3 linked regions of the Pelodiscus sinensis genome follow. The main gene of each other region encodes a partner of the protein of the gene in region 2 in a complex. Links are inferred from orthologs where the notes say so. Each region holds a gene or a part of one and is shown on either strand. Other genes may lie near its edges.

Evidence for each region. The genes of interacting proteins can lie anywhere in the genome.
Region 1: TAF4 (region 2) and TAF13 share a complex: the UniProt entries of both Homo sapiens proteins name them as parts of the TFIID basal transcription factor complex. The link is inferred for Pelodiscus sinensis from reciprocal best matches to the Homo sapiens genes TAF4 and TAF13.
Region 3: TAF4 (region 2) and TAF3 share a complex: the UniProt entries of both Homo sapiens proteins name them as parts of the TFIID basal transcription factor complex. The link is inferred for Pelodiscus sinensis from reciprocal best matches to the Homo sapiens genes TAF4 and TAF3.

Annotation. Positions count from the first base shown.
Region 1 is NC_134711.1:148,145,180-148,152,711, reverse strand, and holds the start of TAF13 (transcription initiation factor TFIID subunit 13), read left to right. Parts: upstream 1-4,532; 5' UTR 4,533-4,615; coding exon 4,616-4,642; intron 4,643-6,383; coding exon 6,384-6,462; intron 6,463-6,839; coding exon 6,840-6,937; intron 6,938-7,532. UniProt on the Homo sapiens protein: The TFIID basal transcription factor complex plays a major role in the initiation of RNA polymerase II (Pol II)-dependent transcription.
Region 2 is NC_134728.1:9,457,293-9,465,124, forward strand, and holds the start of TAF4 (transcription initiation factor TFIID subunit 4), read left to right. Parts: upstream 1-4,813; 5' UTR 4,814-4,838; coding exon 4,839-5,154; intron 5,155-7,147; coding exon 7,148-7,832. UniProt on the Homo sapiens protein: The TFIID basal transcription factor complex plays a major role in the initiation of RNA polymerase II (Pol II)-dependent transcription.
Region 3 is NC_134711.1:9,754,355-9,761,265, reverse strand, and holds the start of TAF3 (transcription initiation factor TFIID subunit 3), read right to left. Parts: upstream 3,001-6,911; 5' UTR 2,877-3,000; coding exon 2,711-2,876; intron 1-2,710. UniProt on the Homo sapiens protein: The TFIID basal transcription factor complex plays a major role in the initiation of RNA polymerase II (Pol II)-dependent transcription.

The sequences.
Region 1 (7,532 bases), on a different chromosome or scaffold from region 2:
TCTGAGTACGGTTATCCAGCCAGTTATGCACCCTCCTTATAGTAGCCCCATCTAAGTTGTATTTGCCTAGTTTATTGATAAGACTATCATGCGAGACCATATCAAACTTTACCTTACTAAAGTCTAGGTATACCACATCCACGCTTCTCCCTTATCCACAAGACTCATTATCCTATCAAAGAAAGCTATCAGATTGGTTTGACATTATTTGTTCTTTACAAATCCATTCATCATAACAATGAATCTCTTCACACCAAGGCCACAAGAAATAACCACAACCTTCCTCCTCTCAGTTACATCAGCATAAGTGTACTTTGTGATTAGTAGCACATACATTGCTTGAGGTATATGTAAGCTGGTTCTGCTTGTGTCCTGAACTCTAAGGGGAAACAGGGAGGCCTCACCACTGGAAGATGAGCTCTGTTTCATCTTGTTTAAGCTGCAAGACAAAGCACTGTCAGCCAAGAAACCTACAAAAGGAAAACAGAAAATACTGATTTTACAGGTCAGACAGAACAGCTAATGGAGTACCCAGTTGGGAGAATGAACCTAATCCAGAAATAGGAATGGAGGAAACAACAGCATAGTGGGTGCTAAATAAGTCCCCCATATGAATTGGTCTCCATCTCTGAGATTCTTCAGTTTGGGCTTGCGAAAATGACTCTCTGACTGAGCCCAGTTTTGGTTTGTTTAAATCTTTTTACAGACTGACAGAAACATGGCCCATCACATCCACCCTTTATCAAGACCCTTTCTCCCCCAAACCTCACACATCCCTTGGTCCTTTCCTTCAATAAAAACATACCCATTTTTAAAAATTTTTAAGTGGGGGACCATTCCTAAAACCAGATTTCACCCCACAATCCCCTATTTCCTGGTAGAGAAGAAAAGTTCTTGTCTCCAAAAAGGCTGAATTAAGAAAGAGGCTTTAGGGGCTGCAGCCCTGGGTTAAGGGGGCCTTGCAAAAAGATCTCCAGGCTGCCACAAATGCAGATCTTTTTGCAGGGTCATCTTGGCCTGGGCTACAGCCACTAAAAGCCCGTGTTCTATCCCTGCCTGGCAGGGGATGCGGGTTGGGACAGTGGATGTAGCTCTGCACGCTGCCTTTCTTCCTCCTGTTCTCTCTGGGCTGGAGTTGTAAATGCCAGATAGCTCCATCTGTGTGCTTCCCTCATCTGCAGGCTCTGCCGCTCAAACTTCCATTGGAGAGGAATTGCAGGGCAGCATGCAGAGCCACCTGCCCCCTCCCATCTTCAGGGTATGCACTTCCAAAGGGGAACAGGCCCAGGAAGGTGCCCCACACCCCAATTCACCTGCCCCAGACCTGAGCCCCTTCCTATACCCTAACTCCCTTATAGATCCTGTACCCCTACCGCTTGCTCTGAGCCCCCTCCTGCATTCCAAACCACTTAGCCCTAGCTTGGAGCCCGCTACTACACCCCAAAAGCCTCATCCTCAGCTCTACCTGAGCCCAAAACCACATTCAGAGTCCTGACCCCTCCCCCATGCTGAGCCCCTCATTTTTAGCCCCTCCCCAGAGCCTAGGGGCCTCTCAGGAGACTTAATCTGGGCTTGGTCCCTGATACTCCTCAGGAGGCACCTGCTCTCTTTCTACCGCCAAATGTGCAGCAAAGGACACAATTCACAGCATTCTTTAACCAGCCAAAGAAACACCTGTGTAATTGCACCAGCAAAAATAAAGTACCCAGCCCCAGGAGAACAGGCATCCCATTAAAAGCATTCAGCTCTCCAGCACGGGACCAGATAGGAACCAGAACATAATGCAATAGCTTCATTACAATAGAGTGGCAGCATCTGTAAAACATGGCTTTAAAAGTTTGGTCTCCTTCACCCACTCCCCTTTACGGAGAGCAGAAGAAAAGTTCTGGGGTATCAAATCCATCCCCCCAGCTGAAGTGCTATGCCCATGAGAGCCCCTAGAAGGGAAGGGTTCTTCCCTAGAGCTGAGGCTGTCCATGACAGAACCCCTCACGACCCAAGAACAGCTCCGTTTTGGGGTGGGAAGATTCCAGGGGACATTTATATGGCACCCCCTTTACAACCTCTGAGCGCCACTGAAGGAGTCAGTCTGCAGGGCAGAGGTGTAGCCAGCTCATTTTTGACACCTCATTAATACGTATAAGCAATCATTAATATGTATGATTTGCTATGAATATGTAGTAGCTGTTAGGCATGTTAATATAGAAGTTTCTAGGAGTGTTGCACATGGCACGCAAGTAGCTGCACATGTCACACTGTGCTGCTGCATGCAGCACACTGATCCAGGCTGTTACAACTTGTTTATCAAAGCACCCAATCAGGGACCCTTGTTTTCCTGTGCAGGGTCCAATGATTTTAAAGATAAAGATCATGAATATTTATGAGAAGGGTGCTTTGAAGGCCTGGCTAACAGTTGTGTGTGTTCGTTCGCGCCTCCCTTGTTCCTGCTTGTCTCCTGTCTGTTTATGTCAGTCTATAGTTAGTTAGGGTTAGCTAGATTTTATCGAGTGTGTCCGTTAGGATTAGTGCGTTGGTTCACTGCACCAGCGGCCGGGTACTTGTCCGTGACGGGAGCGTCGTGTTAGCTAGTCAGGTTTTGTTTCCAGGTGTTAGGGATAGGTAGCTGTCTATCATCGGTTCCTGCTGAAGCGCAGAAGCCACCTGAAGATCAGCACCAGGCAAGTCTCCACCAGTGATTCCTGCATCTAGGAGCGCAAGGCCCCAGACAAGGATCATCACCACCTGCCTGCACCACACCCATCCCCAGGGTCTCCGAGGGATCGCCTCTCTGTTCCTCACTGAGGGCTCGGAAGGAGCCTAAGGCTTGAGGTCGAGAGCATCGTAGAGGGTCACCACTGCGAGGGATCTCCTCGTCTTTCACCAGAGGCTTTAAATTATCAAAGGTTTGAGAGACAGGAGCTTCTCACCCACTGTCAACTACTGGACTGTGTAATTATTGTATTTTGTGTAACCTTGTGTTTGTGGGGTACTTTTCTATTGTGAAAGTAGAAAGAATTATACTGTAAGAAAAATATGAATTGTGCTGTAATAATTGAATAAGTTGAAGGAATTCTGTTTGTCTTTTTAAGAGGAAGAAGAAAAGTATGTTAATGTTGATTGTAGGTATGCAGATCAAGGTGCTAGCCAATTTGGGCCTGAGTTTAACAGGAAAAGAAACATTAGGTGTTAGACAGGAAACAATTCCAGATAATCAGGGAGATATAGCCAGGAGATTGCTGTGTGCTTAATATTGAAATGAAGAGTACTTGAGTAGCCTCACACTAATTATGTGAAGTTTTGCCCCCCTTTTAATCCTGTTAATTTTGGCTTTCTTTTGACTGTATAAATCAAGAGGTTTGAACCTTGTATGGCACTCACATTTTCTCCATGCATTTTAGCAAAGCTTTGCTGAAATAAACAGAGCAGTCTGCCAAATCTGTGAGTCCTGTCTGACTTTGACACTATCTTCTTTCCTTCTTGAGGTTGGGATAAAAAGTGTTTACCTGCTTTTCCTTGTGCTTTTAAAACTTTTACAATATATGGTTTGGCCCTTTTAAAGAGCAATGTTTTTGTTTACTGTGGCATTCTTGGGTCAGCAAACACCTATGATAGATGAGGTTTGGTGGTATCTGCAACTTCCACTGAGGCTTAATTAATAATCAGATGCAAATGTAGGTACAAGCTTTCCTCAGTGCAACAGAGGGCTGCATTCCCCAGAGGCAATGTTCCCTCTATTTTGTTCCACCAGTGCAGAATTAATGTTGTTATGTACACCAAGTCATTGTAAAGATGTGCACCGCCCATAAAAACACACGCTGCCAGCTGTGGGTGCTCTGCTAGTCAGCTGGGCAGCGTTTGAATCTTTACTGGGCAGCCACCCAGCTTACAGGGAAGACTGCCCAGAGGATGGGAGTTATCCCCCTCCCCACCACTAAACACCAGGCGCATTAGGGGGCTGGGTCCTACTCCCTCCTGCCTGGGCCACAGAGGTTCCCCAGCAGCCCCTCTCCCAAATCCCTGCCCGTTGTACGGGCCTGCGGTGCCCGGGCTGCAGGGATATTCCTAGCCAGGAAGGCTCTCTCCCCCAGCCCCGCTTGCCCCCCTGCGGATCCCCCCCCCCCCATAAGTATCACAGCGGAGCGAGAGCAGTTTCCTGAGGCCAGCTCGCTCCACCCAGCTGCAGGCAAGTCGCTCTGGCTCCTGGGCAGGGGAAGCGGGGGGGATGTGTGTGTCTCCCAGCGCAGCCCGGAGGAGCTGCAGGGGAAGTGCCTGCGGGCAGCAGCCAGCTGAGATAACGCCCCCCCCCCCCTTGGGGAGCTGCTGCTAGGGGGGGGTGCCCCAGGTAAGCCCCCCCTCCTCACAGCTGTTCCCCCACATCCCTCCTCCCCCCCCCCCCCGCTGCACCCCCACTCCCTGCTGCAGGGGGGACAGGCACCGCCACGCGCTGCGCACACCTGCCCGCCGCGGCCGCAGAGACCAGCACCCAGTCGGGCGAGCGGGGCGGGGTGTTGGAAGCAGCGGGCGGGGGCGAGTCTGGTGCCGTACAACAAGATGGCGGCGCCCACAGCTCAGGCTGAGGTGGGCGGGGCTTGGGGAGCGAGGTGCCGCTGCGAGCATGGCCGACGAGGAGGAGGACCCGCCGGTGAGTGCAGCTGCCAGCCCCCGGCGGGGGGGGGGAACCCCTGTGCCCCAACCCCTTCCTGCCAGGGGAAAAGTCTCAGCCTCCCGTTCCCCCCCCCCCTTTTGGTGCTGTGGTCCCTTCCGGCCTCAGCCCCTCCCCCAGCGTTTCCCTCCACGCGCAGGGGCTGCAGCAGCGGCCCAGGCAGGGCAGGCCCCGAGCCGCCTCGCGCCTCCTGCCTCGCGCCTGCAGGCAGCCCCGCTGAGCTGCCAGGGCTACTGGAGGAACAACGCGCTGTGGGGGGGGGGCGCCCTGCGGCACAGGCCCGGCAACAGTTTTTGACCTGGAGCCGCTTCAGAAATGTTTGAATTGGCCTTGGGCTGCCCTGAAAGGGGCGGAGCCTCTGGTGCAAGGGGCGGGGCCAGGACACTTCCCTGCTTCCCTGGACACACACCCTGATTGTTGTGTTGGGGGGGGGGGGGGTGAAGTCTTTGTCCCCAGAGCCCCCCATCCCCAATCATCAACTGTTCAGAACAGTTGGTGGTTCCCTTTAGGAGCCCACCACCTGGTGGTTGGAGGAGACTGTGCACTCCCCCCTCCCCCTTTCCTCCAAGTTAGTTGGGGGGGGGGGAGTGCGTGCACAAAGCCTCCTCCCGCCCTGTCCTGCAAGGGGTGTACAAGGCTTAAAGTCAACTGCCAGCTGCTCAGAGGCAGCAGCAGAAGTTGGGGCGGGTGGGAGGCAGTGCTTGCAGGGTGCTGGCTACTTCCCTCCTTCCCAGCTCCCTGTGTAAACATGTAACTGCTGAAAATGTCAAAGGTTACACGTTTACAAAAGAAAACACATTTTAACATTCTTTCTCCATGGCTGTGTCTAAACTGGCCACTTTTTCCGGAAAAGCAATCGCTTTTCCGGAAAAACTTGCCAGCTGTCTACACTGGCTGCTTGAATTTCTGCAAAAGCACTGATGATCTCTGGCTGCTTGAATTTCTGCAAAAACACTGATGATCTCATGTAAGATTGTCAGTGCTTTTGCGGAAATACTATGCTGCTCCCGTTTGGGCAAAAGTCTTTTTCAGAAAAACTTTTGCGCAAAAGGGCCAGTGTAGACAGCACGGTACTATTTTCCGCAAAAAAGCCCCGATCGCGAAAATGGCCATTGGGGCTTTTTTTGCAGAAAAGCGCGTCTAGATTGGCAGGACGCTTTTCCGCAAATCTAGACGCGCTTTTCCAAAAATGCCTTTAACGGAAAACTTTTCTGTTAAAAGCATTTCTGGAAAATCATGCCAGTGTAGACGTCGTCCATGTGTTTATTTAGGGCTTGGTTCAGGATGTCAAATTTGGGAATTAATTGCAGTCTGTTTTTGAAGGTTTTTTTTGTTTGTTTGTTTGGTTTTTTTTGGCCAGAGAATAGCAATGTGCAAGTCTGAAACTGCATGATATTTATGACATAATTTAGGAGTTGGCAACACTGGAAATACTTTTTCTTGTATCAGCTTTCTCTGGGCCAGGTACAAGCTTTTGAGTTTCATGGAGAGCTCTTCTTCAGGGCTTAAGTACAAATAGTTTACACACTGAAATGGAATCCATAATTAGGCACAGACATATTCCCCACAGTCACATTGGGGGTATGGAGTGGAGTGGGAGATCCCTGTGGGGAGATTGAAATATAGGGAGCTGGGCTTAGGCTTGGCTGTGTCACTAATTGGGCTTGTCAGCTATGCTTATATGTCTGAGTTCCCTCTCTGGTATTCTGCACCACCCTAGTTTGAAGAGGACACTGAAGAAGCTGGAGGAGGCCCAGATGGTGGACAGGGCAAGAGGAAGAGGCTGTTCTCCAAAGAGTGTGAGTTTGCCATCCATGTGTCTGGGTCAGTAAGGAGGTGGACCCTCACCTTAGGCTCTCGGACAACTGCATTTGGCTTCGCTTCTATGGAGGTTATAGTCTATTTTAAATGAGGATATGACTGTAAATCACAATAAGACAGTAAAAGTGACAGACCACAGGAGTTCTGTGAGAGTCTTACACTGGAGTGGATGGGAGAGCTTTCTGAAGTCCATTTATTGGGTCCAAGGCAAAGCAGATGCGATAATGACTGCCAGTGGATCGATTGATGTGATGGAGATGAGCCCTTAGTTTGGTTGAAGAATTTAGTGCATGTTGCTAAGTGTCCTGTATAATGGGGAGCTCTTTCAATGATACCATGTTTTCTGTTTCCCCAGTAAGATGTATGATGTATGGGTTTGGAGATGACCAGAATCCCTACACAGAGTCAGTGGATATTCTTGAAGACCTGGTGATAGAGTTTATCACAGAGATGGTAGGTTCTATTAAGACATCTGCTTACTTTGTTTCTAGACTGTAATGACTATAGAGATCAGTCCATTTAAAAAGAACTCCTAATTGGACAATGGTTAGGAAAGTCCTTCCAGTGGAAGGGACTGAGTTAGTTTTTTAAAGAACCCAAAAGTAGGGTTGGTTTATTTCCCTTAAAAAGCAAAATAAAAAAGTAATGAAGTTTAAACCATTAATAAAGGTCGTCTCGTGCCTGTCTGGTTAAATATCTAATTTGCATTCTGGTGGTCACTAACCCTTCATCCTTCCAAGGTTGATAATCTAGTCTATTCAACACTGTGTAAAACATTTCTATATGGTACTTGTAAAGGGAAACAGTGTCCTGCATGCTCTGCGTGGACTTTAGATTCCATTTCTATTGTAATAGAAGATTCATCTTGTGGTCCTTAGCCAAGGATTCCTGAATTCCATTTTTAACAGAACTATGTAATTCCTCTTCTGGGGTAGAGGAGTTTTATGTACTGTTCTGTTTAATTTCATCTGCTTTCTAAGTACTACCTCTGGAAATGGGACACAGAAAGGGATCATGTTCTCTCCCTCTGGGGCAACTAGTATTGGCC
Region 2 (7,832 bases):
ACTGAGCATCATGGTGCCTATTAGGCACTTAGAAAAAAATACATGACTAATACTGCTATCCACAAACCTGACTACATCAGGGGTGGGGATCCAGCCCCCAAGGCTTGCCCCATCCCATCAGTGGGTAGCCTGTGCTGACACTCCAACTCTCCCCCTACCCCCAATATCCCACCATGGGGCTGGAGCACACAAAATCTACTTGCCTGGGAGTCAGTGACGCCTGATGCAAAACAGGTTCCTCACTCCTGCTTTAGGTACACAGGGAGGGCTGGAACAATTTGTATAATGGCGTTGTTGAGAACCATTGAGCTAAACAGTAAACCCTGCATGTAATGGAAACCTTTTAAAGCCAAAGGGTGCTGTAGCACCTCTGCCCCTCTAGTTCCAGCAACAATGAGTGCACAGACACCTAAAAACAAGATCCACAAAAGCTATTCCACTGAGGAACTGCCTAAGTTAGGTAATGAGAGATGCTGACCAGAGAGGGGGTGTGCTCCTCTCTGGGAAGGGCATTAATTCCAGGCTGCAGGAGAAGCATCTGCTTAGCAATCCTCAAATGAGAATCTGTTGGTTGAAATAAATTGCTTCTTCAGAGGAGTTATGTGCTAGCTTTACTTTGCATATAATAGCTGGAGAGGGTGTACACATGCATTTCCCATTTTAACTTTTAGCCTAGTAGTTAGACCACTTGCATAGGCTGTTGGACATCCTAGTTCAAGTCCCTCCTTTTTGCCAGAGCTGGTCCAATACACATCACTAGGCTAAATATTCAGATGAGCAGTACCTCCTCCTATGGTTCGATTTTTGAATGGGAACCATTCTGGTTAACAGTCTCTGAGCATGTCTACTGAGGCCCTGGTGAACACCCTAAGCAAACGCTTATCTTCCCTTGCTTCATGAATCCTTTTAATGGTTAGCGAGGAAAGAAGCACACAGATGTCAAGAGGAAGACACCTCTGTGTAAGCCTACAGACACCAACACAGAGGCCTAAGGAACTTTTACTTTGAAAACTTAAGTGCTTACATGGTTTGACATTAATTTTGTGGGGTCAAAAACTTGGGCACCATATCTTTCATGTATCTGGACCCATGTGACCATAAACTAGGTTCTAAATGCCAGGACCAGCCCTGCCATCAGGTGAACTGAGGCAGTCACTTCAGGTGCCAGACTGTGCTGGGGGAAAGAGGGGGGGCAGCCCACACCACTAGGACCCAGAGGCTATGTCTATACTCAGCTTCTTGCATGAGAAATATGCAAATGAGGCTAAGCATGGAATATCATGGAATATCACTGAGCCTCATTTGTATACCTAATGAGCTGCCATTTTTGCAGAAGAAGCTCTTGCACCAGAAGGAGCTGTCTACACTGCCCCTTCTTGCACAAGAAAAACCATCTTGCACAATGCCATTGCACCATTTTCAGGAATAACAGCATTGTGCAAGAGGGTTTTTCTTGTGCAAGTAGGGGTAGTGTAGACAGCTCCTTCTGGCACAAGAGCCTCTTCTGCAAAATGTCAGCTCATTAGGTATGCAAATATGGCTCAGCAGTATTCCATGCAGCCTCATTTGCTTATTTCTCACACAAGAAGCTGCAAGTGTAGACATAGCCAGAGCATAGAAAACTGTGTCTGCTGCTGGTGCATATGTATTCTCTCTGCTCTAGATGCACAGAGACAGTAGAGTGCTGTGCTGGAGGGCACAAGAGACCTTTTTAAATTTTGGCCTAAGCAAGGGGGATGTGGGGCATCATTTGAGCTCCCCATCTAAGGTGCCAAAATGTTCTGGGCCAGCCCTGCTAAATACCTTAAAGTCATCATCAGCAGAAGAATGTAGAGTCCTGCTAACTCTTCATGCCCTTAAGATGTCATCTGCTCCTCCCTAGTTGCTGCCTGCCCATAATACTGCCAATTAGTGATTCCATCACTCCCTCTTGCTGTTTTAATTCTGCCTTTACTTAACCTCTTCTCCCTTACCCCCATTCTCCCTTCCATTGTTCACTTTCACTCTTTTCCATTATGTCCTCAACCTGAGGCTCTGCTGTTCCCAGCTAGGGAAAGGGGAAGAAAGAATAGCTTTTGGCTACCTTTGCTGCTCTAAGTCTTTGGAACCATCCTGGCAGCACCTGTAAACTACCCTCTATCCCACTTCAGGGATGTACTTGGACCTCTACTCAAGATTTCCTGTGTCTTTTTAGTTAACTGAATTGGAAATTATTAATGCTTGTAATGATAGAGGTATGCCTACCTACAGCAGCAGCAGAAGGTGCCATTGGCTGGTAGAAGAGGCACTTAAAGGAAAGCTCTCTGGCCACATCATTACTGGAATTGAGCAACAAGCCCTCAGAACACTTATTTTTAGGACACAACATTTGTTCTGTTCAATATTGATACGGATTAGAAATAGATCTTGGGAGATTTGTGAAGAAAGAGGTCCTTTCTTTACTCCTTTCAAGGTGACGTTATAGGTTATATCACTGAAAACAAGGATAGAAAATATATTATTCATTATAAAGGCTAATTAATTGACATGTTTGTCCAGGGGAATTCAGACATAGGGATTAATATATTGCAATGTCTAAAGCGACTCAAACATTGTGTAAGATATTAGAATGCTAATAGGGGTGCTTTGGAGGGAAGAATAAAAACCACAGCATGGAGAGATCTATCTATGAATGGGGCAAAATTGGCATCTCTTATTTTGGAAGACTTTATAACCATAAAGCAATGTATTCGTAGGAATCCAATACCTCTTAAGGAAAATATTAGCTGCAAACGTGTTGAGGAGCAAGGCAATTTTCTAATGTCTTCCCTTCACATGAATTTGGATAGCTGACTACCACTTTATAGACTGACCAGCTGACTTTTAGGGTGGGGCATTTGTGACTAAAATACACAAGGTTTTCTGCACTATTTTCCTTCTTACAACTCAACATTGCTTGAAAGACTCAATGTAACTGAAGTGATGGTTACATGGATTAGAACAGATGTAGAATGCAGAAACTAAAGATACCCTAATAAGTATAGTAGAATACTTTGTCTCTAGTCTAGTTGAAGTAAAGAAGCTTTGGAGGAAATGAATCACTCTGGGCTGCAAAAATGGAGACTTGTCAGTGACACTCATTAGGACCTGAAGGGCCACACACTGCTAAGTGATAACAAGCTACACAGGATCTTAGTCTGCTCCTACTGCAACAAACATTTCAACATTAAGTGCTAGCCAGCTCAAGTGACCAACAAAACAGAGGTAAGGCAAACTTATAATTTTAGATTTATAACGTTTAAACAAGTGGTTACAACCTTAACTTGCCTACTGTAGACCTTTACTTAGTGGTAGCATAAGAGTCACTGTACACTGCAGAAGAAATTTTCATCTTGCAATTAATGTTATTCTGGACTTTGAAGGTAGTGCTTAGTAAATAGTTTCACTATTAAAGGACAGGCTGCATTTTTACCATACCTGAACTTCCTTTCTTAAGATGACACAATGTTCAAGTTCAATTTCTATCTAGAATCTGTGTAAGATTAGTGATCAAGAAGCAGATTACTTGTATTGCTAAAGACTACTGTCTCCTCTAAGCACCTTTGGTTTTACAAACTAAATGGGTACTAACCTCTGTAGTACTGTTCAAAATGGAATTTAAGAAGAATGCATTTCTCTGGCGGTGATTTTGAATACAACAGTCCATTCTCTGTTAAACTGTAGCTGTTCTGGACTCAATGCTTTAATTTCCTCTGAAAGGCTGAAGTCGTGGACAAGATGTTTAGCAGTAGATATTCGGCTAAAATCTCCTCCCTCCTTCCATCCCGCCTTTCTGTTAAGCTTTCATTTCAGCTCAGCCACCTCCCATTTTTTCCCCAGGACTTTAATCCAAGCACCCCAATCCCCTCCCCCTTGTATACGCATTCACCGCGCTCATTTATTATAGCCTGTCTGGTGGCAGGGCCTGCCCACCCCCAGACCGCTGAGTCAGTTTCCTAAATTCACGTTCAGGGAAGCTCGACAGCACCTTGCCGTGCACACAGATTAGTGGCGCCTTCCCCTCCCGGATCTTCCCCCTGCAGCCTCCTTCGCTCTGTCCCAGGGAGCTCCCGCAGCCGCTCGGCGCGAGCCGAGAAAGGCGTTTGAAGTCCCCGCGGAGCAGCGGCACTCACTGCCCGCGGGCCACCGGACGCGGCGGGGGGAGGGTGGCTGCTTGTGTGGGGCGCCGCAGCACAGCCCCGCCAGCCGGCTCCTCGCCCTGCAGCTCGCTTTCCAACCCGGGAGACAAGGCTGCCCGGCCGGGGGCTCAGCCCCCTCCCGAGGCTGGGCGTGGGGCCTGCGGCCGCGTCTCCCCCCCCCCCCTTCCCGGTGGATCAGTTACACGCAGTTGGCACAGGTGTGGGGCGCCCTTCAGACTCGCTCTGGCGACACGGGCCAGACGCAGCGAGCAGCAGGGAGACATGCAGCCATCTTGAGCGCAGGCGGACAAAGAGCCGCCCGCCCCCGCCCGCGCACCCCTCGTCTCGCCCCGCGGCACGAACCAGCCTCACCGCCCTGCCCTCCCCCCGTCCAGCCGCCACCGTCCCCCCCCCCCCCACCACCTTCAGCCCCCGCTGCTCCTGCAGCTTCGCGTCCGGGCCGCCGCCGCCCGACTCCCAACTAAACCTTCGCAGCCATTTGCCCGGGCTTTTATAGGCGGCTGGCGGCCAATCACCAGCCAGCGGAATCCCTCTCCGGCCGGTGATGTGAGCCGGCTCCCGTGCGCCTGCGCCGTGAGAGGGCAGCGTGTGTGGGGGGGGCGGGAGGGAGGAGTGGAAGGGGGAGGAGGGAGCAGCTCACAGGAACCCTCCAAAAAAAAGATGGCGGCGGGCTCGGATCTGCTGGATGAGGTTTTCCTGAACACGGAGGTGGATGAGAAGGTGGTGAGCGACCTGGTGGGCTCCCTCGAGTCCCAGCTGGCGGCCTCCGGCCATCACCACCAGCACCACAAGGCGCAGGAGCCCCTCAGGACCGCTGGGGGGCTGCTGGGGAACCATGTTGTGAGCAGCAGTAGCAGCAGCAGCAGCCCTAGCCCTAGCCCTGGAGGAGTAGTAGTAGGAGGCAATGCTAATGTCCAAACAGAGAGCAGCAGCAGCAGCAAGATGGGACTCAGTGCCCCAGAGATCACAAAAGCAGGTAACCTGGGCCGGGGTGGGGGGCTCTCTGGGAAAGGGGCCTCCCCTCCCCCCACTCCCAAGCTCTGACTGCCTCCCTCCCTTACTGCTTTCCCCCCTTTTCCCTCTCTCCTCCTCGTTGTTGTGGCAAGAGCTGGAGTGCAAGGGGCGGTATAAATCATATTGGGGAGATACCCCCCCATACACCAGGCCCTTTAGTATATGTCTGACTGTGCCCCTCTTCCTCCTCGTTCCTGGGGTGTAGAGGAGGTGTTTCTTGCTATATAGGGGTACTGCACCCCCTTAAGAGAGCCATAAACAAGACACTGATGGGTTATCAGTCCCTTTTCTTTTTCTCCTGTTGTTGCTGGAGGGTAAACGGGTGCTATTAATCAGAGGAGTCAAGGAGGGGAACTAATGGGGGCAAACTACCCCTCTGATGATGATTTTTCCCTCAGTTTGTCTGAATATTCCTCTGCCTTCCCTGTTGCTGGTGTATGTTGATTGGTTTTATTGGGGGGATTCCCAATTAATAGGGCCTTCCAATTTCTGTTTGGGTGCTCCTTCCCTTCCCCCTTCTCTGTTGCTGAAGTGCAAAGGGGTGTTATTAATCATGACACCCATTTCCTGTATAGGAGGAAGTGAGGAGGGATTTCAAGGGGAAGAAGCCCCTAAAATGCCTCCCCCCTCATATCTGTCTGGGTATTCCCCATAACCCCTCTTGTATTAGGAGTTTGGAGGGGGTATTCAACACATTTCATTCCTCGTTCTCCCTCAAGGGGGTGTCATGGCAACATAAGGTCCTTGGATGGGGGGGACGGGACGACTGAGGGCACAATCCCTATCCTCCTCAGATGGGCTTCTCCATATGTTACCTGTGAATGTTTTCTGCTTGATGGAGGAGCTTTGTTTTAAGAGGATGATGTTAATCACAATATTAAGTCTCACTTTATGAGAGTGGGTGGGAGGTTGTTTTTAGGAAAGAGAAAAATATTCTTATCTGCCCAGTATCTATCTGTTTTATGTCCCCCCCCTACTATTTTCTGCTTCTTGTTGCTGAAATGTAAGAGGATGCTTATATTAATAATAGCAGATCGGTAATGAGGATTTTGCAGGAGGGTCCTCTTAGCTATTGAGACACTCATATTATAAGGGTTATCTGTGACAGCTCCCTTCTCATTTCTCTCTCCTTAATTCAGGACCTGGACTGCCAAGTCTGGTGTTAATTGTGATACCAGACCTCATTAAAATGGGATGAGGAGGTCTTAGAGTAGGAGGGCACATTGTAGTGTCCTCAGTGCCTGAGTCTGTTTTCTCCCCATATTTGTCTTTGATTGTGGGAGCTTGAGGAGCAGAATTACAACAGCACAGGCCCTGGTGTGAACAAAGTCCTCTTTTGGCAACTTTTTCTTTGTCACACTGACAGTTTTCATCCCCTATTTTTTACATTATTGTACTAGTTTAACTGCATGGAACTACTAGGTTCCTCTACAGGACATGAAAGAATTGGGGGGTAAAGTGTGCAAGGTGTAGAGGGCACAGGGAAGACTTTTTTTCCCCTCCCTCCGCATCTTTTAAAACATTTTTTCTCTAAATTCATTAACTGGAATGTAAAGGAAGTTGTTAAACGTAATGTCAGGCCCTGAAATGTGGGAGAGAAGAAAGTTTAGGATAAAGATGTATCCCAGCTCTTTTATTGTCCAGATCTGTCCTGTTGTATGTCTGTCTGTCCTCTTTTTCTTGTTATAGTTGGTTCAAGGGGTGGCTATATCTAATATCACTGCTGCCAGGTGTGAATATGGGGCATAGAAGGGCTTCATGGTAACCTCTCTACCCAGAAAAAGATAATTTGTATTTTCAGCCCATTTTTTTTCTTGTCTCATTCCAGACAGTATGGAGGACGTGGGGGCGAGGGGGTAAAGAAGAATTGGGAGGGTGGAGAAACACACTCCCTCTACCTTTTGTTTTCACCTCCTGCACATTCTCTCCATTGAACCTTCTTCTTGTTGTTTCAGGGGCTGGAGGAGTGCAAGGGGGTGTTATTAATCATAACACCAGGTCCCAGAGTTCAGCTCTGGATGGAGCCACTACAACCAGCACCACCACTGCTGCAGCAGCAGGAGGAGGCGGATCTGAAGCTGCTGCTGCTCCAGGGACCCTCAGTCAGGGCAAATCTGTGGTTATCAGTACAATGGCAACTGCCTTATCCACCAGGAATGGCAAAATTGGGACCACAACGGTGCAGACTTTGAATGGGAGTAATGTGGTGATGAACTCTCACCATTCGGGAAGTGCTACTTTCTCTGGGACTCCTGCAACTGCTAATCCTGCTGCTGCACCTACTGTTGCCCCTCTAGTTAACAATGGACCTGGATCTGTGGGGAAAGGAAATACAGTTAATGCTGTTTTGCCTTCAGCTTCTAACACTGTCATCCAGACTTCTTTCCTCAGCACCGCTGTGTCCTCCACCTCATCCCCATCCCCCACAGTAATCTCTTCACAGCCGTCACCAAGCATTGTAGGTGCGGGGCCTACTGTAGCACTGGTGAGACCACCAATTCACACAGCAGGACCCACGGTTGCTGCAGCTGCTGCAGCCACTCAGAATGGGAGCAATACTGTGATCAATTCAGCCATCAGTGTGGGTGTAGGGAGTTTTCCTGCTGTTGCTGCAGTCACTGTGGGCTCTGGAGTTTCCCT
Region 3 (6,911 bases), on a different chromosome or scaffold from region 2:
AATGCTCCCTTCCCCTCCATACATTCATCAAGAAAATATGCCCTGTTCCCAAGTCGCAGTAAATGCTTCACACCCCTTATGCAGCTGAAATAAGAAGGTAGATTACAGTGCCTCCAACTCCTAATTATATAGCCCTCCCCCGGCCTCACAAATCTCAAGGTGGCTATGGAAATATAGGCTAAGCCCTGGAAGGTAATTCTGTTTTCAAGCTTCTCAGCACTCTCACAGTGGCAACTCTGGTCCATGTGTAAAGATATTGTCCCCCATAATACATCTGCTTCACACCAAGTTCACATGGATCAGACTACTGACAATAAGTCCAACCCAACTTCAGGTGGGTAACTAAGTCCTCTCTTTTATTCCACAGTCGGATGCTCCCTGATCTCCTAGATTCTACCTTACAATTATTATACATGTTTATACAGCACCATTCATCTTAGCATTTATATGCGAAACTTAGAGGTATGATTGTGGCACTTGTAAAATCCCTGCATTGGTGATACATATGGGTACCACCCTATGCACTCTCGCTTCCCTTTCCCTCCTAAAAAAGAACCTAAAGTTTTTCTCATGACTATTGGTAGGCTCAGTCCAACCCCTGAAGGTAGCCAAAAAACATATGGTCCCAAGGCTCCTCTGTTTTTTTAATCTGAGAACTTTTGGTGGCAAACAAGAAAAACCCTCAGAGCATGACAATATCCACATACCCCCCCATCCTTCTGGGTTTACAGTTTATAGGGAGGTTGTCATCCCTGGCGTCTCAGCCCTCTAATCCCAATGGACCCTGGAGTCAAAGCAGCAGTGATGCCCCCACTCCTCAACTCCCATTAGCACTGTCAGCCCCCAAGTGACCATGGATCTTTACTCACCTCTGCAGACTCCACTACAACTGTGCCTCCCAGAAGCTCTCCCTGAGCTTACACTACAGTGACACTCCCAGAGCCCGAACTGACCCACCATTCCCCTTGACTCCCCATGTTCAGAGAGAGCAGTCATGTATGACAGCCATGCTTCCTCAGATCATATTCTGGAAGAGAATTGGCATGGCCATATATATCAAAGGAATAAAATGAAAAAAGTGAACACATTATTAAACTGACAAATCAGATTTAGTACAGAAGGTGGGGTGAGGGAGAGGGAAGGACGGAATAGCTATTTATGAGTCGATGAATGGTTAATCAGGGGTGATAAGTGAGGAAGCTATCTTTGTAATGGTTAAGGTAATTAGCATCTTTGTTAAGGTCCATCCCTCACCCTGCACTAACCTCGCATACACAGAACTCACCAGGGTGGTTGCTCTTGCCCAACCCCAATTCTCACAATGTCCTCAGCACTCAGCTGGCAGTGACAGCTTCAGCCTCGCTACACTCACAGAATGTGCAACAGTAGTCCCACTGTGTCTGGCTACCTCTACACTCACAGAGCAGGCAGTTACATCCCCGTCCCCACAACTCGCCCCGTACCCAACACTCACAGTGAAGCCACCAGCAGCCCTGGACCAGCAAGACCCCGTCCATGTTCTTCCCTGCAATCACTGAGCTTACAGTAGCAGACACCGCCCCCTCCATCCATGGCTCCCCCACTCCTGCACTCACAGAATGGGCAGTGGCAGCCCCAGCCCTCCGTCTCCATAGCTCCCCCACTCCTCCACTCACAGAATGGGCAGTGGCAGCCCCGGCCCCCGTCTCCATGGCTCCCCGTCTCCATGGCTCCCCCACTCCTGCACTCACAGAATGGGCAGTGGCAGCCCCAGCCCCCCATCTCCATGGCTCCCCCACTCCTGCACTCACAGTATGGGCAGTGGCAGCCCTGGCCCCCGTCTCCATGGCTCCCCCACTCACAGAGTGGGCAGTGGCAGCCCCGGCCCCCCATCTCCATGGCTCCCCCACTCCTGCACTCACAGAGTGGGCAGTGGCAGCCCCGGCCCCCGTCTCCATGGCTCCCCCACTCCTGCACTCACAGAATGGGCAGTGGCAGCCCCGGCCCCCCGTCTCCATGGCTCCCCCACTCCTGCACTCACAGAATGGGCAGTGGCAGCCCCGGCCCCCCGTCTCCATGGCTCCCCCACTCCTGCACTCACAGAATGGGCAGTGGCAGCCCTGGCCCCCGTCTCCATGGCTCCCCCACTCACAGAGTGGGCAGTGGCAGCCCCGGCCCCCCATCTCCATGGCTCCCCCACTCCTGCACTCACAGAGTGGGCAGTGGCAGCCCCGGCCCCCCATCTCCATGGCTCCCCCACTCCTGCACTCACAGAGTGAGCAGTGGCAGCCCCGGCCCCCCATCTCCATGGCTCCCCCACTCCTGCACTCACAGAGCGGGCAGTGGCAGTCCCGGCCCCCCATCTCCATGGCTCCCCCACTCCTGCACTCACAGAATGGGCAGTGGCAGCCCCGGCCCCCGTCTCCATGGCTCCCCCACTCCTGCACTCACAGAGTGGGCAGTGGCAGCCCCGGCCCCCGTCTCCATGGCTCCCCCACTCCTGCACTCACAGAACGGGCAGTGGCAGCCCCGGCCCCCATCTCCATGGCTCCCCCACTCCTGCACTCACAGAACGGGCAGTGGCAGCCCTGGCCCCCGTCTCCATGGCTCCCATCCCCTCTGCTGTGGCAGGGTCAGGCTGCCCCGGCAGGGGAGGCCCCGCCCCGCACTGACTCAGCCCCCCGCTCCCCTCCCCCGCAATGCCAGAGGCGGCCCCCGGCCCGGCACTCACAGAGCTCGCAGTAGCGGTGGCAGCCCCGGCCCAGCCCCTGCAGGTAGCGCTGCAGCACGTCGGTGAGGAGGTCGCAGGCCGAGATCTGCACCGAGTCCCAGCCCAGCGCCTGGCAGACCTGAGCCACCGACACCCGCAGCAGACACCGCGAGTAGCTCTCGCACATCCCGGCCGGCTCAGCGCGGCCCGGGCCCGGAGCCCGCCATGGCCCCCCTCACGCGCAGGCCCTGGCGCCCGCTGCCGCCAACGCCGCCATCTTGGGGTCGCGCCTCCCGGCCGGCCGGGAGCAGGCAGGCCGCGCCGCTCCACCCCCGAGCGCGTCGATGGGGCGGGCGGCCGATCGATTGCTCTGGCCTCCAGCGGGGCCGAGCCGGCCTGGCTGTGCAGGCGGGGCGGGGGGATCGCTCAGCTGGTAGACAGAGACCCAGGGAGAGTAGGGGAAGGCGCAGGGGGAAAACGGGCGCACGGGAAAGTATTAGGGGGAGGGGAATTAACAGCCTGAGACTCAACTGGGAAAATACCAGCTGCTACCTTTGTTGGAAGAGGTGGGTTGTGCGTGCCCACGAAAGCTCATGCTACCATCCACGTGTTTTGATAGTCTTTAAGGGGCTGCAAGACTAGTTGTTACTGGAAAAACTTCAACTACAGAGTAACTCGGCTACCCTTCTGTACCTCTATGGGTAGAGCCCTGCCCGGCTACACCATTGGTACCTGCATCTGCAAACAGTACCAGGGGATATAAAGTGGATATCCTCAAATTTGCAGGGTCCTACAAACAAAACTGGGTGTCCGCCTCCCTATCTGCAAAAGTGAGCCGCAAGTATCTTCGTCCAGATTTGCAGTGCTCTGTTTGGTAAGGATCAGACAGTGACAGGGGAGTGAAGAGGGACCTGCAGCCCTGCTAGAAACTGATGCAAACTAGAGAAGACAATGCACAGAGAAACTTTGTGCAAGTTTGTGGTAAGAGAAGCCTGCAGAAGAGGGATGTTAGTCAGTGCAGTATCAGCATGGTATGAGGAGCTGTAGTAGCAATCCTAAGGGTTAAAAAGTCTTTAGTCTGGACCCCAAAAGCATGGCCTTTTTTTAAAAGGGAGGCATTTGGGGTTTGTTTATATTTGTCTTATGGGCAATAGAGCAAGTGGTTTAATTTTTCTGCTACCCCCTCCCTTCAAACATATGAAACACTTTGATTAAGAAATGCTGTTGTTGTGTCTGAGGGGGTTACAGATCAGATGCTTTGCAATCCCAGTCTCTTTGGGGCTCATGCATCAGGGTACATCTCCTATGATCTCTTGGAAAGAGGTGGCCTAGGAAATGTTCAGATGCAGAGCCTGGCCTATGGAGAAGGGGAGCACAGGGAACTTGAACTATAATTTTTGTAAGGCAGACTGTAGGCATTTCAGAATAAAAATACTATTTTTATTTTAAAAAACTTAAAAATTCTTTGGAAAGCATATGCATTTTCAGAAAAAAATAGTTTGTCAAATCCAACTTTTCCTGAAAAAAAGATTTGACTTCCCTCCCCTTCATTCAGCACTCAGTGGGGTTCTCTGTTATGTCCCTTCTCTCCTTCCTTTAATTTTTTCCCCTTTCAGATTAAGCCCTCTGGTCATTTTTATTACTATTCTTTGAATGCTCCCCCCGTTTGACAATACAGTAAAAGCTCTGTTATCAGCATACTGGTGGAATGGAGGGTGCTGGTTAATTGAATATTCTGTTTAACAAACAGTTCTATTTTATCTATGGAATACCACTTTTCAAAGAACTAGAAAACAATAAAATGAATAAAGTATAATAGTATTCAGGTACTCACCAAGCCTGATGTATTGCACTGCAGAGTGGTTGGTTCCTTGAAGCACTTAGGTGTATGCAGGGAAAGTTATTTTGTGTCACTACACGACAATTGGCAGGTCATGACATACATCCCAGTTCATTAAAAATACACTTAATATAAAACTCTACAAAATGTAATTTAATCTTCAATGATTCAGCAGGCACTTCAGGATCTTGTAGTGCCTCAGGGTCATCAATATCAATTATCATTGTAGATGTTTGTAGAAAGTGTAGGAGATTGAGCTGAACTGGTAATGACATGCCCTAGAAACTGCATCAGCTTACTTATTTGTCTTCTGCCTTTTTTGGCATAAAAGTAGAGTGTAGAATATGCGGTTGCATAATGTGCTGGGCGTGGCCATATACTAGTCTGTTACTAGACTGAATATTTTTGTTAGCAGATATTAGAAATGCCAGTTGAGCTTTCCAGTTAATTAAGTGGCATATAACAGAATATTTACTGTATTATGGTTGTGGTGTGCTTTCTGGAATGTAATGCGAGATTAACAGGTAACCAAAGATATGCGGTACTCTGTAACTGAGTATATAGTTTAAAATTGCACCAGCCTTCTTTGCAGCAAAGCCCCATGCTCAATTTGAAGGCCTGGGGCCTTTATGTGGTACATAAGAGTTAGGGGCCAAAATAAAGAATACATTTTAGATCAAATATTGGGAAGATGCAGTGACAGATGTGCTAGGCTTGACTCAACTTTCACCAAAGTGGTAGGAGCCCCATTATATGCTGAAATCTGGAAAGGGTTTTGTAGAAAAGCCCATTTTCTCCCCATTCCTTTATAAATTCACTCTATTTCTGACATGTGTGCCTTTTCTGAAAGGGAGGGTCTGGTGTCTCTTGAAGTGAGGAGAGGGCTACTTGTAACAGTCTCTCTCTATTGTTTTTTAGTCTTCTATTCTTCTCCTGGATACTTTATAACTTTTAGTTTCTCTTCCATGCTACAGTAACAGTCATCTTTGCAGCAGATCCCCATCCACTCTGCTTTTCTGCCAGCACTTCTGTCTAACCCAGGAAGTGGCCTTTCCTCCAAAATATCAAACTCAAGAAGCAATCCCAGACCCTGGCCTTAGGCAACTTCTCACTAAGTTCCTTGTACTTCAAAACCTTCCCATTTCTGTGCATGTTGCTGATCTCCATCTACAGAGGGTGCACAGTGAATTGCATGTAGAGCAAACAGTTATTCAGGATGGCATTTGACTAGGACATGGGTTCTACACTACAAAATTAAGCTGACCTTTGTTACATCCACATATAGCCACCAAGTAATTAAAGTGGTTTTACACATCCACCCCTACATTGCGTGCATCTTCAGCTTGAGTCCTTGCACTCATTTAACTGCCACTGTGGAGCATTGAGGGATGGTTTCTGAAAGGCAGCACTAGTCAATGTGAGTGACACAGTGTCTGTACAGTCACTGGGTTGACCCAACACTCCTGGGGTAATTCTGCACCAAACATTTTAAAATTCTGTAAATTCTCAGAGCATTCTACAGTTAAACATCAGTGAGGACTCTTTCATTTTCCTTATTTGTTGACCAAGGGCAGTTTGTCTACCAAAGTTTTGAGTCAGCAGGATGTGTGGTTAGGGGAAATAGAATGGGCCAGGTTAGAATCCTAGGCAATCCAACTGAATACATTAACTGAGAATGGATTGCAAGGACCAACCTAATACCAGACCAGTGACTACTTCCATTTTTCATCTTACTAAGGTGTAACTTTGTAGGCACTTTCTAGAGAAAATAGAGTGGAAATTTTTGATCACTAGGTTTGAGTAAAACAACCTTCAGAACAGCAAAAGACATTTGATCATGTCACAACCTTGCAGAATAATTAAGATTCTTAAAGTTAATTATTGTATATGTTTGTAATAAATGTAGTGCAATAGAATCGTTACAAACAAGCAAAACATTGGTTTTAGTTTCCTTATAAATTCCTGCACTGGAACAGGTAGGATAGTGGCAACATTTTCATATTAAGATTTGTGGAGTCAAAAAATCTCTTCCTACCCATAAACCCTACTGTATTTGAAAAAAGACAGGATAGGTGATGCTCTAATATCTATCAGAATACTCCTGAAATTGATTTCCAACCATTTAAGCAGCTGCACCTGCCCCCTTCATCCAAGTGCAGCAAATGATTTCTAAACTCTTCTTTTAGATTGTAGTTTGAAAGTATTTACATCTAAACTAACTTATGTCAGGGGCAAGGAACAGGCAATTAGCTAGTGGTTTTAGGGAGGGAAAAAAAAGAAAGGAGCTAACTATTCATGAGTAAAGTTACACTTGAGTGTAAATGGATTGAGGACTTAGACTGTAAGCCCATTGGGTTAGGGACTCCTCACCTCACATGACTG